3 linked regions of the Mytilus edulis genome follow. The protein of the gene in region 3 purifies or fractionates together with the protein of the main gene of each other region. This does not show direct contact. Links are inferred from orthologs where the notes say so. Each region holds a gene or a part of one and is shown on either strand. Other genes may lie near its edges.

Region 1 (7,732 bases), on a different chromosome or scaffold from region 3:
CGATAATACAAAATAGTGTGTACAAGTTCCAAAAATAGATCTGTCAGTTACACAGTACGCTATTTTAAAAGTTCAACGTAAACTTATAAACAGGCATGCATTTCTAAACTACGGTAATATTGAATAAATTCATTCGAAAATTTAACAAATTATTAGATGAGGTCACATTACTGATAAACGCTATTTATAGATTATGGAGACAATAAGAAACACATGTATGTTACTATAGTCTGTTTCAACAAAATTCAGGTAAAGGTCAATGAAGGTACGAAATTCGTTTCTCTAGTTGACGCCCTCCTTTCGGAAATTGTCATCACCCCCAGGGCGTTTATTAGAATAAATACGGTATATAAAAATAGACAAATCAATAATTACTGACCTTAAAATGTTGTTTACGCAAATAATTTTGTGAAACGAAACCTGTGTTTAAAACCCATTACACAAAAAGTTTGTTTCTCGTAGAAAAAATGGAAAATGGACTTGTCCAAACAAATGTCACGTTAAAGTACTTTAATGAAAACAAATTATATTTCTTGTTTCATAGATGATTAAAAAAAAATTCGTCCAATTGGATATAAAAAAAATGGGAAAGCATGACTACTGATGATCCCCGCCATGCTCGTTTTTCCAGTGGACGAGTCTATTGTGTTCTTGACACGAATGTTGAAACTTATTTTTGTACGACGTTTTTGCAATGTTTTCTTTTTCAGTTTTCGTGCCTGATTTTCAATATTCACTAAGTGTCCTGAAATTGATTAAGACCTACGCGGATACGTTATTTTTCTTGTTAAATAAATGACGATTTAATTTCGTCTTTGTCCATGGACACAATTTTAATTAACCACCCCCCCCCCTTGTTCATTGTTGTTGAAAATAATTATATGAAGTCATGTGATGTTTATGACAGCTGAGCAATAGTATTTCATTAAACTAAAATTTAGGAAATGATTACAAAATAACATACCAAACATATTGTTATAAAGGTAAAAGATATTTTTTTGCATATTTTTCTCTTGAAAGATTTTTTTCTCTATTTTTTTCAACCGACCAACCTGACTTTTACATGGGAAAAATCTGTAAACCAACAAATTGAAAAAAAACCTGGCCTGATGACACAAGCTTCCACAATAAATTAAAGTGCACAGGTAAATAAAAGAAAAAGTTGATAGAAATCATGTATGCATGATCCTGGAAATTTATGTAATTTTAAGTATAAAATTAAATGCTGCTTATTAATAATTTTATAGGGTTGTAAAAATGAGAAAATGTTCATTTTGTCCACTTAGGTCAACAATGCTACATCCCAATAAATTTACATAAAGAGGCATTCAATTCTTAAACAAGGAAAAATGTTGTTTTCAATGTGAAAAAAATCAGAATATTTTCATTTGCATGGTGTTAGTTTTAAGAAAGAAGTACTAGAAGTTAGAGAAAATACTGGATACATGTACATTTTTTTCTCTCCAATAATACATGTGTGTATATGACCATTCTACAAAGTCAATGATTTCCTAAAATTTCTAAATAAATAAATTTATTAGGTCTTTATTATATTTCTTTTTTATAATTGGATAGTTAGAGTTACACCCCTTTTTTTGACATTTTAAATTGTATTGGTATAAAAGTGTGTTCATAAAAAATATAGATAAATATAACTTATCCTTCGGATATTGGTTTCAAAATATCAAAAGATACATGTCTCTTTGACACATTCCCCATTTCCATTCTCAATTTTACATGTTACATTTGTACATTTTTTTGTAACCTGATAAAAATAGTAATAATACATTGCAAGCTAGAGATAATATCTTAGCAATTTCTATTAACCTTAAAAAAGGTCAAGTTTCTTTCCCACAACTTTAATTTAATGTCTAGCATTTGGGCAACCATATCTAACTGGAAAGCTGTGCACACAAATATGCAGTGAGTCGTTACCATAAAAAGTGTATAAAATGTTGTCGTGCATGAAAACATCTGATGTGATTTAAAGAAAGGGACATGCACACAAGATTATAAACACAAATTGCTCTCCATATTTAAAAGAAAGTTTCAAAAAGGTTGACAAAAATCACAACTTCAGCTTGCTAAGAATATGGCACATTTTTTTTTAGAACGAGTTGATGTGTACCCCTACAAATGTCACTTTTAAAATGCAGAATACTTGCCTTTTAATATATAGCAAAATGAAACAATAAAACAGAAATTAAACACATCATGCAGAGGCTATATGTATGGTCAGATCATTTGTTTTCGTGAGTCATATGAATTAGTTCTATGCATGCTTTTTCAATTGAAATTTGACATCATAATGCATATTTAATAGAGAGAAAACCCATGAAACAAGGATATAATTTTGCTTGGTGCTTGCATACATGTGTACAATATTTGTGTATACAGCCTTAACATGTTCAAGTTAACTTATGACAACAGGTCTGTATATAAAACAATGTCACTTATTGTTTAGTTTAATTGGAGATAAAAACTAATAATAATATGGAATTATTAGATTAGTGTCGGCCATGTTTGCATCTGGCAGCCATGATGAATTTCCAGCTTTTAAACTAATTTTGTAATATTTCTGATGAAATTTCTAGCAGTAACAAACCTCCATCAGTCCACCAGATGTGTCCAGATCGTATTCAACAGCTGCCATTTTACAATAATGAATGAATACTTAAACAATTATCAGTACGGTTATCTTTATGTCATCAAAAACCAATTATTTCCATTATGTCCCAAAGAAATGGGAAAAAGTTAACTTCGGTTGCCATGCGAAAAATTGAAGATTGTCATATAAAGGAGTTATGGTTTTTCATAAAAATACATTCATTATGAAGCTAAATTCCACAGCTGGTGGTTGCTACTCAGTTATATGTTGCAAACTTAAACCCTTAGCAGAAATTCGTCTTCATTTCAAATTCGCTAGCCTGTAGCCGTCTTCTTGGCGCAATATGTCGGCCATTTATAATACGCATGCGTATAAGTCTGGATTTCTTCAATGCGTTTGCGCATTTGGTAGTATCCGAACAGCGGAAGTTTATAAGGTGAAGGTCATAATTAACGCGGGTAAATTTATTATCTCCCATTTCACATTCAATTAAAATATTTCAGAGGGGGGATAGGACCTTTATCGGGACTCCGGGATCGGGTGTTTTTAAGATCGGGATTTCGGGATTGACCCTTTCGGGATCCGGGAATTTTTTTTTCGAATTTCGGGACCTCGGGATTTCGTGTTTTTAAGCTCGGGATTTCGGGATTTCGTATTTTTAAGCCCGGGAATTCGGGATCAGGACCCCTCCTACCCTCCCTCATTTCAAGGTTTTGTGTAAAACAGATATGTATTAAATACATTACACGATAAATGACTTTCCATTTCATCTGTTCGTTTATCAAATAGTAAAGCATTATAGAATAGTGTTTATTTACTATAGAGTGAAGATGTTTCGTTTTAAATGGGAAAATCTGTATAATTCCAATTAAGGTAACAGGTATACGTAAATGGCTTGTCCTGCGATTTAAAAAAACAATTGTATGAATGTAGTAGAGTGATTTTTATGATCATTTTATATATTGTAAAAATCATCTATTTAATTACTATATTTATTATAAAAGCTTTATTACATATTTTGAATATTGTATATTCAGTTTAAATTATTACTTGCAAACCTTATTTTTATGTATAGTAATATTCACGTTATTTTATGAATATTGATTAGGGATTTACTTAAATCATTGTATCTGATTGGCTGTTTATATTTCGCGGTCAAGTTTAATTTCCTTTGTTTTGTACCTGTACATTTCCACGGGACGATAGCCATGACAGTCCATTGAATTTATGTCTGTTTATCTTGACCACATAGTTTACTTGTAAACCTTATATATTTTGGACAACATTATTATAGAATACTGTAAGTTACTTCTTTATTAACATTATTTATATTTTTCACGTAAATGATATTTTAGTAAAGTTTCTATTTTGCTTTGTAACGTTCTCCTCATATCGCATGTATGTAACACAAGTACACGAGATGTACATGATAGTATTTTATTAAGCTAGAAGTATATGATTTTATAAGCTACGGTTTATTTGCCACGGTAGAATTGTATTGTTAATTTGCGTACATTACTATTTGATTATTGTCAGGAATAGTCTATATTTTATAAATGGCGGCTTATTAAGTGAAAGACGGAAAAGTGTTTCCATTTATATAAAGTTATAGTTTTGTAGTAAATAGTTTTTATCAAGTACAAATATGAATGCGTAAAGAATATTTTGTACATTGTATATTTTTATAATTAGAGTCCGAGTATTTATGTTCGTATTTTGGTTTCAGGACTCCATGTAATGTAATTATGTAGAACACATGATTGTGATGTGTACATGATGTGCCGTTAACCTTATCAGTAGTACAACTCACTCCACAAGTGGTAAGAGTATATTTATTTATAGTTTAACTTTGTTTATATTGTATTGTAAACATGAATTACCTCCCGTTAATTTGGAGCTTTTAATGAATCGATAATATTGACATCATAAGTCTTTATGATTATTATATTTGCAACTTTATGATTGTTGTATGATATTATGTAGTTAATTATTATACGTATTATATATTTTAATGAAGTCATTATTAATAAATGTAGATGTAACATTTATTATATACCGTTTGTTAGGTAAACCAGTATTTAATACAAATACACAGATACACGTAAATTACATATTACTCTCCGATTTAGTGTAAAGTCAAAGGTCAAGCGTTTGTAAAAGTACACGTGACACCCGATGATATTTTATAGAATGTAAACATTGAACAGTTTCTACTTGCAATACATTTTACTTGCTACTTAGTTAATAACAGTTAAAGGTATTATTTACTATATTTCTGTATTATAGCCTGTGATATTCGTAAAAGAATTATATTTATGTTATATGAAATAGCTTGTTATTTATATATGTTGTATTGCTATTTCAGACTTGTATTTACATACTGGTACAATAAAGAATCAGAACCCTAAGCTCTTGTTGGTGTTACTCTTTAGCATAGAAAACCACCTACTACAAATGGCGCCCACGTATCGTTGGGTTGATGGTACATACCAGTTTTTGTGGAGATCCAGATGTGATGTCAGTGACCACCATTAGATGTCTCGAGTCCATGTATACAGTGACCATGTGTGTTTGTTTACTCCCGTTATGGTACCATGTGATGAACTTTACCACGTGCTTATGTTTACTAACATTCCGACCCATGTGATCATCGTCCACGTGCGTTTGTTTACAGTTTACCGGATGACATTATAGTACCGGATGTTACTTTTAGTAACTTGACTTTTTGTTTTTCACTTTTGGAAAACTGAACTTGTATTATTCTACATTGTGAAATATTGTGATTTAATTATACTTTTGTGGAACAGTGTAATTATTGGAATAGTTTTCTAGTTTAAGGTAGGACATATTTATTTACATTATATACTGTATACCACTTTGATACATTGAAACTTAGCATACACTTGAAACATTTACACACTTAGAATTTATTTTTGAAAATTTTGCATCCACTTTTTGGACTTTAATTTTTTTTTGACGTCCTACATTTTGACCTTTTCATACTTTAACATTTATACATTTAAAAAATTTTTTTTTTTATTTTTTTTTTTCCAAGGCTTACTTGGATACGGACTTAGTCTGTCAGTGGACATGTACACTTATACTATTTAGGCATTCATTGATGGTGTACATGTATTACTGATAGTGATAAACATACTTTGTAGATTACAGTAGCATAGCTACATAGTATATAGCATACACTTTTATATTTTAAATTTATTTTTCGGTATACAGTTGTAGTGTATTGTACTTACATTGAACTATAACCCACATGGTATAGGTTAATGCTCAGTTGAACTTAGCAATTATAACACACATTATGTTTTATGTGTAGCATTGCTAGTTGGTATTAGATACACAGTATATATATCGTTTTATAAATGTACTTTGTTTAGTGACTTGGTACTTAAGTTGATATGAATTAAAATTTATTATCATATTTTTTTTTATATATTAGACATTCACTGAGTTAGATAGTATCTAGATTTTGAGATTGAAGATAGACATTGTTGATTATTTTTTAATATTGATTAAAAATTTCCATTTGATCATTTAGAGTGGTGGTGTTGACACTTATTAGATTTTTGCATTAATATTGAACTTGAATTAGGGTGAATGAATTAAATGTTTATAGGTACACTAGTCTACACCGTTAGCCATGTATAAACAACCGAATGAGCCATGTTACAACGTCATGTATGACCAACCCTACACTACTTACGACACTTATAATCCACAGTACTATCCACCACGCAGAAAACGTCGCCGTCACAGAAGACGCAACAGACAACGTCCATACTGGGACCAGATAGAAGCTGAATACCAACCTGCTCCTACTCCGACTTATGTATCTCAACCATCCAGAGAACCTGTTATATGCTACAGATGTGGACAACCAGGCCACTATGCCTTTGCCTGCTGTGTTAGATTGGATCACACCAGAAAAGCCTGCAACTTTCAGCAGATGAACACTGAAGCTAAGATGTACCAACAACGACAGTCATCAGGTGATACAGAAGGATTACTTGGTAGCCCCAATGAAGTCACAGTAGTCATCAATGGACTTCAAGCATCAGCACTACTAGATACTGGTTCTACAGTTAGTACAGTTAGTCAGTCATTCCATCGACAGTACCTTGCTGATAGTCCTATCCAGACACTCAACCAGATACTCAACATCGAGTGTGCAGATGGTCAGAATATGCCATACCTTGGTTACATCTCAGCAGATCTACAATTACCAGGTACATCTACATCAGCAGATCCTCAGCAATGCTTACTGTTAGTCGTTCCAGACAGTTCTTACAACCAGCTTGTACCACTTCTACTGGGAACCAACGTTTTGACAGCAGCAATGACTGATGTAAAGCAACGATATGGATCACGTTTTTTACAAACAGCAGATCTACATACACCTTGGTATATTACGTTTAGATGTTTGCTTCTTAGAGATAAAGAACTGCAGAAGAGATGCAACAGACTTGCCATTATTAAGAGTGCTGAAGGAAAGACAATCCGTATACCACCTAACAAAGATGTCGTTCTACAGGGATACATGGACCATGAACTACCATACCATCCAGTTTGTGGACTCCTACAGTCAACTGATAGAGCAGCAATACCATCAGACTTAGATATAGCTCCAACACTAGTATCATATCAGTATAGAAACAACAGCATCATACCAGTACACATCAGCAATGTAACTACCAGAACAGTGACCGTTTCGCCAAATGCCATCCTTTGCGAACTTCAACCTGTTTCAGTCACCGACATTGATGTACCAGACACCTACGAACAAGATGCATGGAATGAATCTACATTTCCAGATACACTTACTGATGATCAACTACGTAAAGCCAGAGAACTACTTCATCAATTCAGAGATGTATTCAGCACTTCAGATACTGATATAGGCCACATCACCGCCGTACAGCATAAGATAGAACTGATAGATGAAACACCATTCAAACAACGACACCGGCGTATTCCACCTGCCTTATTCGACGAAGTTAGAACTCACCTTCAACAACTTCTTACTGCTGGGATCATTCGTCGTTCGCATTCGCCTTGGTCATCGAATGTTGTATTGGTTAGGAAGAAAGACAACAAGCTCAGAATGTG
Region 2 (7,656 bases), on a different chromosome or scaffold from region 3:
TTTAAACTGAAAGAACTAAAGTTATTGAAACATTGCCAGTCAACCTTTTACAATGGTAAGTTTAAATTTTCTTGTTCTGTGAAAATCTTGTTTTGTTGAATGTTTTCTATTTAGTATCCCAGAAAATCTATTGTTTTACAGTACGTTCTAAGCTAAGGAGACTAATGGTTTGTCTGACTGAAAAAGAAATTTAAACCTTTCTATTATGTTATCAACGGAAAAATATAAAAAATCCTGTCTGTCTGAATAATGTTTTGTCTGACAAGATTCATTTCTGTTTAAATTAAATAAACTGGGGTCAGTTTTTACATTCTCAGTCATATCTCTACTGAGGTTATTGTAAAGAGAGCATTCCAGAAGAAAGTGCATTTCATTTTCAATAGAATTTGAATTACAATATAAACATCCTCTCATGCTGAGGTAATATTTCATATTTACCACATACATAGATAAATCGTTCATGTCTGCCAGTTTCTATTCTTAAGGTGGTACCCAACACTTTCACTAAAATTAATTTGTCTCGTTTAATTTTAATAAAATTTTGACAAAGTATTTACTTTAACCCTTTAACAAAAATATAAAAATTTCAAAAAATTTTAACCAACCGTTTTGTCAGAAAAATTACACTGGTTATAATTAGCAGTTTGACAAATGTTGTGAATGTGACTTTGTCTTCATGTCCGTAATGTCACAAAACAGTGTTAATGTTGTTTCCCGTATTATTGACGTTGTATGATAGTGACGTGGGAGAGAGAGATGTGTTGCCGGATAGACAAGATGGCTGAATGTTTGTACTGTCAGAGTGTATGCCGTGTATTTTGTATTTTATGTAACGTCTGTATATACATATAGTGTGAATAAATCGTGACTGTTATTTTCTACAAAGATGGTGTTAAGTTATAAATTTATGAACGCTCGGAATTCTACGTTTACAACAACAAACACCAATTTTGATCATTGAGAAGCTTAATATTCCCTTTACAACACAAAGTAATTAAAACGTTCAGCTGACTCTACAGAGTTATCTCCCTGTAGTGTTAGGTACCACCTTAAACAGTGATTGCTGAGTCTGTATTTTGTTAACAGATGTTTTTGACCAAACCTCTTAAGATTACATGTACATATTGATGCCTCAAGTTGAGGCAGGTGTGATATAAAAAAAGCCCTATGATGTTCTCTATAATCGTGATTATACTTGACAGCAAATAACACACAAGTATCTGACAATTCCAGTTTTTTTTGTTGGGTTGATGTTTCTCAATCCTTAGGAATGCTTAGTTTGGAGTTGCATTATTGTATTGACTGTCCAGACCATTTTTGCATTGTCTTTTTTTTTTTTTTTTTTGTGTTCTAATTTGAATTTGGTTGTACCAAGGATTTGTATAGTAAGAAATAGTATACAAATCCTTGGTTGTACCGTTGTTTTTAAACAATAATTTTAAAATTTGGGGTGATTAAAAGAAGAGAATTTTTATTGAAGGAGATTTTTAAACTCCAAAGTAGAAGATGTTGATGATCCAATCAAAATTTGCTATGTGAAATGTGCAATTAAGTAAAATAAATGTAAATGTCAATGAAAACCTAATACATGTAATTTTATGTAGAAAGAAAAGTTGCTAGGCATAGGCGGATCCAGGGGGGGGCTGGGGGGCCCCGGCCCCTCCTTTCGTGGGAAAAATTTGGTTGATTATATAGGGAATCATTGAAGCATGACTGGAGCGGGCCCCCTTAGGAAAAGTTCTGGATCCGCCACTGCTAAGAGTGATTGTTTTTTTTTTATTGTAAGTTGTTTAAAGGTATTGTTATGTGAATAAGTGTTCAGCATGTTGAGATCTGCCATAATATGGAAATTCAAAAGGGACCATCTAACATGTCTTCCCATATGGAGCTAAAAATTTCCTTCAGTTTAAATTATATTCCTTTTATCACATTTAGATAAAACTATCTAGATACATGTACATTTGATAACAAGAAAAGTTAGGTATACAGACAATTGGGATGAGAGCAGATTCCAAGATAATACTCTTGATTATCACCTCTGTACTGATTCTATATGTTGTGGCAGATGATTACAGTCTTTAACTATAAGTGGATAAAATAAATATTTCTTAGATGCATGATTTTTTTATTAGTTGTTAATGGCTTTGAACTTGCTGTCAGATAACTGTAAGTACTCTCAGATATGTTCCTAGTGTCTTTTTGTTGTCGGGATGTACAGGTGTAAATGCTCTTTTGTTTAGACGTTGGAAAGTTCCGGGTGGAAAGAACTAAATAGCCGAAAAAAGTCCAGAGGAACTTATCAACTATAGTTACTTTTTGTTTTTACTCTGGTTTAAAAGTTCCACCAGTTCTGCACAGAAATCTACTTCTGTTTCCAGTCATGTTTGCAGGAGACTTTGAATAAAATGTATATTTATCAGTCTAAGAAAGGAGCTCAATACTAATTCATTTTTAAAAATTGTTTGTTATATAAAAAAATCCTTACAGTAATTGATGACAGTGTTTCTTTGTTTACATTGAATATGACGTCATAACTTAAATAACGTCATAACTCAAATCCCTAACAACAGTACCAAAATCGGAAACGTTACAGTATTTCCGTTTCTCTTTTAAACATGTTTGATTAAAAAAAAAATCATACAGACCGTCCCATTCACAGGTAATGCCTACCTCATATTAGTAGTCTTAGTGTCATGTCGTAAATATGTTTATATTGTTTAAGTTTGATTGCAGGTTTAGGCCTAAATGTTTTAAAGAGTCAACTTTTTCTATAAATCTTTACTTTACTCTACTTTTATACTTTCAATTTCATGTTTTATTTTTTTACTTTGGCTTTGAATTTTCTCTCTCTGAGTCTTTTCCTTTCACAAAGTGACTTGATATGCAATGTCTATGGTTCAGTGCAACAAACTTCAAGCCCCACTTTGATTTGAAAACCATATGACTCTACTTTTAACAGAAAACATGTTTTTTTAAATCTTTCATAGGCAGCCTCAGGCAAGGATTACAGCACAGACAATCTAAAATTTGACCTTAATCTAAAAAAATAATTATCCAATCAAATAAGAGCTTTCAAAGAAATCAACGCAGACTGGTGCATCTTGGGAAGAGACTACTACTTCCTTTTACACGCAATTTGCGGTCGTACGCCACATCGACGATTTTCAAACAAGGATAATCATGGGAATGAGACGTCCAAGAACAACAAAGAATCCTCCGATTCTAAGCCATGAATTTGTGATACAAAACCATGCAGACATTGTCTCCTGCATCGCCATGGTGTTTGTGGTTGGTCTCATGTTTCAGGTGAGATGGCCATATGGTACCGGTCAGGTGCCGGGTACTTTCTTTACTGCCAATACTGGCTTAATTTAACTTATTTGTATTATATAAATATGAAATATAACAGCATGTTTCTTTTCAATTTAAAATTAAGAGAAAGCCGACTATTTCGTCGTAAAACTGATGAAATTTTCGAAGCATCTGTCAGTGTCAAACGAAAATAACATCTGACACTTTCAAAAATTCGATAGCTACATGTATACTATAGTCTATGGATCATACTCAGATAAATTTACACTGCAAAATAAACAATAGCATTTTTTTTTTTTTTTTGTTATTAAATGCTAGTCAGATTTAAGATGTTTAATTATAAAAACATGATTGCCAATATGAAACAATGCCTTTTCAGGCTTTTGTCAACGGTCAACAGGGTGTCAAACTGAAGAAACATTTACTGCTTTTTGTATATAAAAGACTTGTTGGAGTGGTTTATTTAATTAGCATGTCTAGAGAATACTTACATTTATTTCATAATTATAGATAGAGAACCCACCTTTTTTATTACATTATTTCAAAACTAAAAATATTTTTTGCTATGTGAAAACATAGCAGCTGTTTGGCCAATTCAGAAAATGCAGAATTTCATTCAAAATTTTTTTTGAGGTATAAAAAGGCTTAAAGTAGACCACAACAATAAATACATATGGACCTTGAACATAGTTTGAAATAAATCAATATCTGATCATGCTGATTGTAAAAAATCAATCCTTTTCAAAAGTACAAAAATGTACTGTTTTAGTGTTTACAACTGGCCAAAGTAAAAAAAAATACACTTGTTCAATAAGAAATTTGTGTATATATATTTATGCAGAAGTTAGACAAAAATAGACAGCTTTTATTGTGTATAATGAATTTATATATTTTATTACAGGCCACTTCTCCAGTAGCTTCACTGTTTGTTGCTTTACAACACAATGTATCCTCAACAGTTAATGGTGAGTGTAAAACAACTTTACATGTTAATATAAACATCGTTTAAGGGGTACCCGACACTTTGATTTAAATATTAATTAAAATTTATTTGATTTACTATGCCATGAGCATTAACGACAAAAGGGATCACTCTATTCCTCAACTAGGTGATTTTATAAGGACATTCTTATTCAAGGTTCAACATTCCAAATTTGACAGTTACTTGAAATAATTTCATTATTAAGGGGCAGGTCAATTGAAGAATTTCCCTTTGAACACACATTCTTATTTCTGTTCTAGTTTAAATAGGTTAAAACCAAGGGTATTTATTTCATTGTTAAATAGTTTGCTCTTCTTTTTTTCACTCTGCATTCTTTTTAGTCAAAAGTGAAATACTGTTACCCTCGGTCTTCTTTTTCTTTATACTTCAGCATTGAGCAATCAGGTTCACATTTTCAAATAATTTTTTATGTTATGCGTCTTCTGATTGACTGACGTTGTTTTGTTTATCCACTCAAAAACCAAATTTTCTTATGTGACCGTGACGTCATCAACATGTTTTCATGGTTTACTCCTGTTTAAAATGGAATTTAGAATTAAATTATAATAAATGAGTGGAATTTTTTTTCTGTCTTTTCGAAATAACATTAAAAATGGGGTGCACATTTTGAATTAATGTGCTAAGCACCTCATTTTTTATGTTATTTCTTCATAGACAGAAAAAATATTACATTCATTCCTTAAATAAAAATGCCTCTGTCATCACTTCAAATACACCCCAATAAAATTTGAAAAAAAGCATTTCATTCTTAAGTCCAAATGAATGTTAGCAGTTGGAAAAAGTAATAAGATCATGAAATTAAACCTGAGTTTTGTTTTTAAATATTGATGTCTTATTTTTATAGTGTCTGAAGCAGAGGACCTGCCCATAATGTATACTAATGGAGCTAAGGACATCTCCTGTGTGTTTTTCTACACCTTGATCTGCATTGTTATCCATGCTGTGGTCCAAGAGTATGTTCTAGATGTAAGTAGATAGATGTTTGTTCAATATATTTTGTCTTAAAAAAAGACAACAGTTGTATAAGGGTGTTCAAAAGTCATAAATTGATTTAGAGAAAACGAATCTGGATTACAATCTTAAACTCAGGAAAACACATAAACTATAGAAGGAAAACAAAGTAACAACATGAACACTGAAGTGCAACAAAAACATGCCAACATACATAGACTTGGTACAGGACATTTTAAGAAAAAATGTTGTGGTGAACCCAGTTGAACAGCTAGGCAAACTTCTTGCTTTATGACAAAAGTTAAAAATATCGCTAAAATAAAAACATGACATGACATATAAAGCACAAAGAACATTTATCACAGAGAAAAGCATAATTAAATAATATAAAAGTTGACACAACATGCACACCGCAGAACAACAATGAACATGTAATCTTGATTTCAATACAATGTAAAGTACATATATAGTTAACAAATGGTATTCTAAATCTTGGTTAAAAAAGTGGGATGTATGCAATATACATGTATATTTGTATTGTTTCAGAAACTTAACAAGAAGATGCATCTGTCCAAGATAAAGCACAGCAAGTTTAATGAGTCTGGACAATTATTATTTTTCTACTTTGTATCAGCAGCCTGGGGAGCAGATCTGATTGTCCGAGTAAGTGGAAGATTTTAGTGTATTTTTAAATTTATACCATGTAAAGGATTCTGCTAATTGCACATGAACAGATTCCCAATAATTAAATTTTTGTATGTACCAATTTATTGATTCCTGAAAAATTGTATTTGAAGTTCTGTCATTAACCTATTTCACATCTAAGTTCTCTTACATGTTTTGCATTGATGTTATTAAACCTTTCGCCAAAATTCACACAGCTGACAATGTGTCCCAGTTTACTGGGAATCAGAATACTTTTTCCTGCTAAAAAACATTGCAAACACAAGTTATCTTTCTTTGTTTAAAGTCAAATGAAAGTGTAAACATGGCGTCTTCTGTTTGTTGAAAAACGGGTCCAAAATCAGATGACTTTTACAGAAAAAACTGCATACAAATATATAAAATAAGATATCAGAATGCAAGTTTAAAGTTATTTTGATTGTCATACTAATTAACCTATTCACATTTTAAGCATCAATAGAAACCTGGCAATAATAATTTCTGAATTTACAGTACATGTTTGTTTTTACTTAACCTTTCCGTTTAGTTGACACCTAAATATGAATTTATTATGTTTATTTCAGGAGAATTTTCTGAACATCAATTCCTTATGGGAAGGTTATCCACATGCAAACTTAGGGTATGTGTTTTAAAGTCAAAGAAAGCTATTAAAGATAGTATATTATGAAATTATCTAAACCAAGTAGAGAATTTCTTTTCTGTGTACAAGTTCCATGTTATTTTATAGCATATTTCCATTCAATTGTATAAAGAAAAATTACAAGTAATATTAAATGGTGGAATTTTTTTTAAAAGTTTTACGAACATATTGATATTTTAAAATTTTATGTGATACTTGTAGTAAAACCGTCATATTTCAGACATTCAACATATTAATGTGAAGTAAAGCAGACAAGATGTTCTGAATGTACACTCTTGTTTTTATACTGCTCTTATATTCTTTCAGATTTGTGAACAAGTTTTACTTCATCATTCAATTAGCCTACTGGTTACATAGCTTCCCTGAACTCTACTTCCAGAAAACTAAAAAGGTAAAATACATAATTCAGATTTTGACACTCTTTATGCACACTCATGTATAAACCACAGGTTACTGAAATTTAAACTCAACAACACAAATAATGCACCATTTCTTATTTACTGTAGTTCCACAATTTGTTTTTGTTTGAAATTTACAAAACTTAATAGTTATCCACATTTTGCAGAGAAAATAACATGTGAGTAGTGACAATGTAGATTTCATCCACAAAAGTCTGATATTTGTCAATTTCAAAAAGTTTATTTATTAGATGGTTTCATTTCTGAAGTGACAAATTGTATGGATCTTCCTACTTACAAACTTGCTTATATAGCTGTTAAGAGTAAAAAGGCCACTTTGCTCATTGTTGAAGGTTTTACGGTGACCTATAGTTGTTTTAAATGTCTGTGTCATTCTGGTCTCTTGTGGACAGTTGTCTCATTGGCAATTATACCACATCTTCTTTTATACATATTTGGCAATGTTGATTTGACATTTACATATTAGCAATAATGATAGATTTTTCATCCAGTTAGATCACTTTGATGTGAGCATGTTTTATAGATCTCTCTTGATCTCTTGGTATAGATTACTAACTTTACTAGAATTTGAATTTCAGTTAGTTTTTGAGTTGAGATTTTATATAAATTTTGCGGATGTTACATTGAGAATTAGATGCATAGTAATT
Region 3 (7,913 bases):
CCAATCCCTGGAACCCTCCCTGGATCCACCACTGCAAATTTTTACAGATTGAATTCAAAATATTAAGATAATGGCGACTTAAATTTGCCTAAAAGATCCATGTATGCAATAATTTAACAATTGTTTAAACTATCACATGGGTCAAAAGATTGATTGATATTTGGTGTTTTAACCCCACTTTTGGGGTATTTCATGGCGGCCACTTTTTATTGTTGGAGGAAGCCAGGTTTGCCCAGAGAAAACCACTGACCTTTGATGACCTCTTTGATAGGAAAACTGACAATCCTTATCAATTAAGATTGGAGTTGAGCACACCTGCATGAGCGGGGTTTGTACTCACAACCTCAGTGTTGGCTGTCTAGTGATTACAATAGTACAACTTCTTACACCACTTGGCCACAGAGGCCCCCTGGACCATAAGAAAAATCCCATGTTTGTTAACTGAAACCTTCTGATAAAAAGTAGGGCCAGAACCGGTCAGGGAAGGTTGGCAAATTTCTTTTTCTTTATTTGATCTACAAACCCTTATATATAGTATTATCCAGCAACGGAATCAGATCAGGCATTGCCTTAATGTATATTTACAGCTTCAATACCGGCCCTATGTTGAAGTTTTGTTTTTTGGGGGTTTACACAACACTATATTTATCTTGGTGTCAGCCATTTTTTGGGGTTGAAAATTCAAAACATATGTTTCATAACATACTGGGGTCAAAAGTCTTATTTTGATCATGTGATCTCTCCATTCATGAAAACATGGACATCAATGAAAAGATTGATGTTTATAGTGAAGTAACAAGAAGAAAATAGATAAAAAGTATGTCTTACCTTATATAATGTATATAAATCCACAAGTTTCCTATCCACATGAGGTATTTTTAAAGAACAACCCTGCAAAAAAAACAATCTTCTATGATCAATAATAGCATATATTTACAATGTACACTTTAAGTCAGTCCCTTATTTCACACAATTTCTAAAACAATGCAATGTCTGATGAAAAAGGAAATAAAGTAAGATCTGGCACAGTGCTAACATGTTGTGAAAAAAAGGGGGAACCTTCTTTCTTATTTCAAATTGTTGATTAACAAATCCTTCAAAATCAACATTTAAGATTATAATGAATTAAATAATAAGAGAATCATTCTTACCTGTAGCTCCCAGAACTTTGCAAGCTGGTCCAAAAAGTTCAGCTTCATTCGAGAAGTGGCCTGAAAAGGATAAATATAATCATTATTATATAGAATCAATAAAAGAATATAAAATTCACATAAATTAACAATAAATCAAGTTACTGTAAATTTTTCATTTATTTTTTTCATTAAAACAGTTTATAAACGAAAATAAGCAACAAGAAGTATAAGATTATAAAGTGTTGCCCATTTTGAGCCCCAATATACTTACATCAAGTTCATTTAATCTTTGTATTCTGGGAGTGAATGTGAATTTCTCGACATCAACAGCAAAAGGTGGTTGCCAGTCCTAAATGAACGAAAGAATGGACATTAGAATACACCTATTTGATATATTAGAAATATTTAATATTTTTCTTACAAGCTGATAATGGCTACCTTTAGTCTCTGGCTTGGCAGCCATATTGGTTGAAATATTTTATGTAGTTCCTTCTTCATAGGGAATTTTACAGTATATCATATCTAACATTTTTCATCATTTTATTCATAATGAGATGAAATTCAATAAAAAATAATCATTCGCAACCTCTTTTTCTCAACAAAATTATTTTTTGAGTAAAACTGCAAGATCTTGCTTGACCTGCAACTTTTTTATTTTTGTCTCACAAAAATATATGGAAAGTATAAGATGAGTGTTTAGAGCTGACAGCAACCATCTTTTTTCAATTTCAGCCTTTGAAAATGATATTTAGATAAAATCTGTAGTAAGACATGTAGATCAGATGTAAATAAGTCAACAGTCAAAGGTTATGAACAATCTTTAAATTGCATCCAGGATTTTCTTTTCTCATTAATTTATTTCACCTAGTGTTTTTATATGAATGTATAAGAAAAAAAGACAATTAACTTGATAAATAACACTTTAAAATCATTATACTTGTAAATTTCTGCCTTTTTTTTTGCTAAAATCTATATGAAATTATAACCTATAATTAATTAAACGATTAACCCTGGAGTAAAATTGAAATGTGAAAATACAAACTGTTTTTTTTTTATTTATGCTTCATCTAATCATAATATGAAGTAATCTAAAAAGAATTATATTGTAAAACACAGACAAATTTGCTAATTATGTAGTGATTATATGAATTTTTTATACAAAAATACTCTTTAAAAAGTTGAAATCTTAATAATCATAATAAAAGACACAGAGTCATTAAATTACGAGACACTAGTACATCCTTTGCATCATATAAGGCAAAAGGCCTCAAGTAGGAAACAGAAACAAGAGGCCCAGCTTTTCTCTTTGTTTCATAACTTTATTTTCAGAAACTTTTAACATGTTTAAAAAACATTTTGTAAACACATACTTCATGAGTTGTATTTTTTTCATATAGACTATTCATTTTATCAAACATATAACTATAATTTTAAGTTATTATATAGCTGGTGCTAATGTATGACAGATCTGAACAAAAGGCGTCGCCATGTTTGGGAAAATAACTTGCACGTATGATCACGTATTACCATGCAGAATTCATTCAACACTTTCAGGGGAAATACACACAATGGCAATTAGAAATTATTCAACAATAGTGAAAAGTAAATGATATTATAAAGTAATAACAGACCGGTGGTGGTTTAATTTTGCATAATCCAATTTTTTCTGCAATCGGTCTTATTTTGGCGATGTATCCCAACGGATCGGCAAACTCCTCCTCAGTTGGAGTAAATACCGGTGCCTCTGGAGGACGCCTGAAGCTTGGACAAGAATTGTCAACCATGCTGCAAGCCAACGGCAGACACTTCCAATTCAAAAACGACCCAGAGGGTCTAATATAACGCGACCAAAATATAGTAGTAGAATCCCTAAAACACAAAATCCAGTATGTGTGGAGAGGTGCCGAAGAACATACTTATTCTAAATATGGGAAGTACAATGTAGTTCTAATTAAAGTATCTTTTAATGTACCAAAATGAACGAATGTTTTTCCACAACCATAATTTAGCATATAAAATAAAAACTTTAAAGGGACTAGCATAAATTAAACATGTATTAATATTTTTTTCCAAAATGTTTATTTCCAATGTTTTCACACTTGTCAGTGCGTATGAATTTAATCAAACAAATTTTTGATTGGTTAGAGTAGACTGGTTCGCCTGTCTAGATCAATGTGCATATTACATATTTCATATATCAAGACAGGTAGGGTATAACGCCATCTTTTTATTTGAAATCGAGGTTGTTCTAAATTTAAAAATATTGACGTCATCAAAATAGGAAAGCCGGTGTTTTCTCCCGGCATGCATTTGTAAATGACAACAATAAACAATATGGCAGCAGACGATGTGAAAGATTTTAAAGAAAAACTTAAGAATGTCTTGATACATAAAATTGCCTTAACTAAGATCAACTGTACGCGAAACGTTAATTTAACCTACTTGAAACCTTTGCAATTGCAAAGTATTCAAGGTGCAATGAAAAGTGATGCGTTGATCATGCTACCCACTGGCTATGGGAAGTCATTAATTTTTGAAATGCTTGGAAAAATGAATAACACCAAATGCATAATAATCAGCCCCTTAAATGCCATTATTGAAGAGCAGACAAGAAAGCTGGGTAGAAAGGCTGTTAATGTTAATTCAGCGCTAATAAATAGTCTTGAAGGTATTTGTAATATTCATTCATTCCATTCTTGACTGCAGTGTCATTGAGACACTTTTTAATTTTAGGGAAACTCAAGTATGAAACAGATAAACAGAGACACCAAAAATATTCATACAGATATATGTTTGATATTATTGTTATAAATACCAATAGATATAAATAAATGATATTATATTTAAATTGTGTTCCAGTTTTGCAGAATATTAAACATGTTGCAGTACAGAAAAGCTAACTTGGAAAACATCAAACAAGATGTGAACAAACTCACACAAGAAATCAAAGGTCATTACCATAGTTCATCTACTGACGAACTATGGAATACATTTACAGAAAGACTACTTCAATCAGTCAAGAAAAACATCCCCCAGAAAACAATCACAAACAAGAAAAAACTACCCTGGGTTGATAAAACATTAAAAATCATGATAAACAAAGTTAAAAGACTACATAAAAAGAGCAAAAACAGTCCAGAGCAAATGAAAAAATACAAATACTTAAAAAGAACATTACAAAAAGAAATGCGTAATGCCTACTGGAATAACATTGAAAAAATGATATTTGACCTACCAGTAGATGAACCAGATGACAACATCAGGAAAAAACAACCTAAGAACTTGTTTACATACATAAAAAGTATGAAAAATGACAATACAGGCATTGCTGCACTTAGAAAAGATGGTAAACTTACTGACAATACATCTGACAAAACTAACATTCTAAATAGTCAGTTTCAAAAAGCATTTTCCGAAGAAACAACAAGTGAACCCATTCCGGATAAAGGAAAATCGAACTATCCAAAAATGAACAAGATCACCATCTCTAAGAAAGGTGTCATAAAATTACTGGACAAGATCAATCCTAACAAAGCAACTGGTCCAGATCAAATTTGCGGAACAGTACTCAAAGAACTTAGTAGTGACATTTCAACCGCAATCACCTACATCTTCCAAAAATCACTCGACACAGGAAAAATCCCAAAAGATTGGAAACATGCAAATGTCTGTCCTGTTTTTAAAAAAGGTGATAAACACAACGCAATAAATTATAGACCCATATCTCTCACATGCATACTTTGTAAGATCATGGAACACATAATAGCCAGTAGTATGATGGACCACCTAGAAAATAACAATATTTTGTACGACCTTCAACACGGATTTCGAGCAAATAGATCATGCGAAACCCAACTAGTATCCTTCATCCAAGAACTAGCAAAAAATAACAACAGTAACATCCAAACGGACATAATTGTGATGGACTTTGCCAAAGCCTTTGACAAAGTTCCTCACAAAAGACTCCTCTACAAACTAAAACATTATGGCATTGATGACAACACCTTAAAATGGATAGAAGATTTTCTCACATCTCGGACACAAACAGTGATCATTGATGGTGTTCAGTCAGACAAAATAAATGTAACATCTGGTGTTCCCCAAGGAACAGTTTTGGGTCCGATCCTTTTCCTTGTATACATAAACGACTTTAACGAATACATCAAACACAGTACCCTCAGATTATTTGCAGATGATAGCATAATTTATAAAACAATACGAAACAAAGAAGACACACAAAAACTGCAAGAAGATCTCACATCAGCTGCAAAATGGGAGAAGGACTGGCTCATGTCATTCCATCCAGACAAGTGCTCAGTCCTTCAGATAACAACTAAGAAAAACCCATTAAATTTTGACTATACTCTCCACCAACATGTACTTCAAAAAGAAACATCCACAAAATATCTGGGAATAACTATACAAACTGATCTCAAATGGAACAAACATGTAAACAATATCACAGCTGCAGCCACACAAAAGCTGAACTTTATTAAAAGGAATCTAAAAGTCAACTCAAAAACAGTCAAAGAAAAAGCATACATTGCACTAGTAAGACCAAAGCTAGAATACAGCAGCTGCGTCTGGGACCCGCACACCAAATCTCAAACACACCAACTTGAGATGGTCCAGCGCAGAGCAGCAAGGTACACCTGCAACAGATACCATAACACCAGCTCAGTCACTGAAATGCTACAAACTCTAAATTGGGCAACACTTGAGAAAAGGCGAATTAGAACCCGCATCATTTTCCTCTACAAAATTATACATCATCTTGTTGCCATATATCCGACAGACCTACTTACACAATCTGATACAAGAACACGACAACATTCACATATTTACTCTTTCAGACCCATACAAACCACTAAAGACTCATACAAGTATTCATTCTACCCTAGAACCATCTTGCAATGGAACCTTCTCCCAGTAGCTGCAGTTCAATGTACTACTCTTGAAAGCTTCCGAGAACAGATTCCAATATCTGTTCTCAATAAACATCTTAACATTTAAATAAATTCTACAATGTATATAGTTTTAACCAAAATGTATAGTACAAAAACAGAAGAAAAAGAAGTTATAAATGTTGAAATTTTTATTTTTATTTTTGTATTTTTCACTGTAAATAAAATGTATATCCCACGCACGCGCGGCATAGTAAAATCAGTGCCCGGCACGTTATCATCAGTATGTTGATGGAGTGCTGAATTATAAAGAAGAAGAAGAAGAAGAACAAATTATATTTATAAATGTATATTTATTTGTTCTTCAACAGAAAATATGTTGTGTAAGGGAACAACCATTTCATGGTGGGGGGTGAAATAAATAACTAAAAAAGAAGATGTGGTAATTGATTGCCAATGAGACAACTATCCAAAAGAGACCAAAATGACACAGACATTAACAACTATAGGTCACCATACAGCCTTCAACAATGAGCAAAGCCCATACTGCATAGTCACCTATAAAAGGCCCCTATATGACAATGTAAAATTATTCAAAACAAGAAAACTAACGGCCTTACATTATTTGTATAAAAAAATGAATGAAAATCTAATATGTAACACAAACAAACGACAACCACTGAATTACAGGCTCCTGACTTGGGACAGGCAAATACATATATAATGTGTTGAGTTAAACATGTTGGCAGAATCCCCCTCCCCTAACATGGGGCTGCCTTGATGATCACAAAAATAAATGGTTTGTTCTGTGGTAATTTGTAAAAACTAATCTGACTTGCAATGTTTTACTATTGAAAATAAATAACTCAGCAGGTCTTTTAAGCCATTTCATAAATGCTATTCATAGTTTGATACTTTGAGAGGGCACCAGATTATTTATAATATTCATCTTTTTAAAAAAAAAATCTGCAAAAAATTCCCATATCTTTTATTTAAAAAAGAATAAATATTAATTAGATACAATTGAAATGTCTGCATTGAAGGGAAAGGGGGGGGGGGGGGGGGGGGGGGGGGGGGGGGGGTAGGAGGGGTTGTGATCCCCAAATCCTGGACTTAAAAAACATGAAATCCTGAAGTCCAAAATCAAAACAAATCATAATCATGAAATTTTGAAAAAAGAATTCCTTTATCCTGAAAGGGTCAATCCCATAATCATGAGCTTACAAACACTAAACACCTGATCCTGGATTCTTTTTTGCATACCTTTTAGTTTTATATTATATAGCTAATATAAAATTACAACTTTTCAACTACTAAAAATTGTATCCAAGTTTATAGGAGCTACATCAAATTGTAATTGAAATGTGTTATAAAAACTTACTTGACATAGTTATATCAATGATATTCAGCCCCTCTTGACTTATTTGAATTTTTTTTTAATAATTTACAGGTATAAAAGATTAAAATTATGCAAGCTGAAACAGTCACACACACAAAAAAAAAAGGAAAACCCAGTGGCCACATGCTGAACTATGTGAATTACATTTTTGCTTTATCCTAAATATTTTTCTTTAGATGTTGTCCCTAGAAACTAAAGTCTTACACAGATTCTATACATTTTGCTTTGAGTCCAAAATATAAACAATTTTGAAACAGAACACATTCAAGCTTTCAGATTAAGACAGGGTCTGGGAAACACTCAGAAAGCATGATTCCTTCGTTTATTATTTTTAGCCTCGCTACACTTTGCAGAAAAATGTTTCGGCAATACTTTTTAAAATAGGCTAGTGACTTGTATTGATAGTTGCCTCATTGGACCTCTTACTACATCTTATGTATAATAAGTTCAAGTACTGTTGCATGACACATTTAACCT

The links.
Region 1: the proteins of lysine-specific demethylase 5A-like (region 3) and PHD finger protein 12-like purify together in Homo sapiens (affinity purification with mass spectrometry; 3 studies listed by BioGRID and IntAct, with this or other methods). This does not show direct contact. The link is inferred for Mytilus edulis from reciprocal best matches to the Homo sapiens genes KDM5A and PHF12.
Region 2: the proteins of lysine-specific demethylase 5A-like (region 3) and MYND-type zinc finger-containing chromatin reader ZMYND8-like purify together in Homo sapiens (affinity purification with mass spectrometry; 3 studies listed by BioGRID and IntAct, with this or other methods). This does not show direct contact. The link is inferred for Mytilus edulis from reciprocal best matches to the Homo sapiens genes KDM5A and ZMYND8.

What each region holds. Positions count from the first base shown.
Region 1 is NC_092349.1:72,763,813-72,771,544, forward strand, and holds the start of PHD finger protein 12-like, read right to left. Parts: upstream 3,046-7,732; 5' UTR 2,654-3,045; coding exon 2,606-2,653; intron 1-2,605.
Region 2 is NC_092355.1:68,944,565-68,952,220, reverse strand, and holds the start of MYND-type zinc finger-containing chromatin reader ZMYND8-like, read right to left. Parts: upstream 3,041-7,656; 5' UTR 2,788-3,040; intron 1-2,787. Other genes in the region: translocating chain-associated membrane protein 1-like, read left to right, coding at 3,181-3,306, 4,214-4,277, 5,160-5,281, 5,813-5,929, 6,514-6,569, 6,897-6,981. UniProt on the Homo sapiens protein: Chromatin reader that recognizes dual histone modifications such as histone H3.1 dimethylated at 'Lys-36' and histone H4 acetylated at 'Lys-16' (H3.1K36me2-H4K16ac) and histone H3 methylated at 'Lys-4' and histone H4 acetylated at 'Lys-14' (H3K4me1-H3K14ac).
Region 3 is NC_092344.1:46,177,260-46,185,172, reverse strand, and holds the start of lysine-specific demethylase 5A-like, read right to left. Parts: upstream 3,063-7,913; 5' UTR 2,918-3,062; coding exon 2,765-2,917; intron 1,483-2,764; coding exon 1,405-1,482; intron 1,212-1,404; coding exon 1,152-1,211; intron 892-1,151; coding exon 829-891; intron 1-828. UniProt on the Homo sapiens protein: Histone demethylase that specifically demethylates 'Lys-4' of histone H3, thereby playing a central role in histone code. Does not demethylate histone H3 'Lys-9', H3 'Lys-27', H3 'Lys-36', H3 'Lys-79' or H4 'Lys-20'.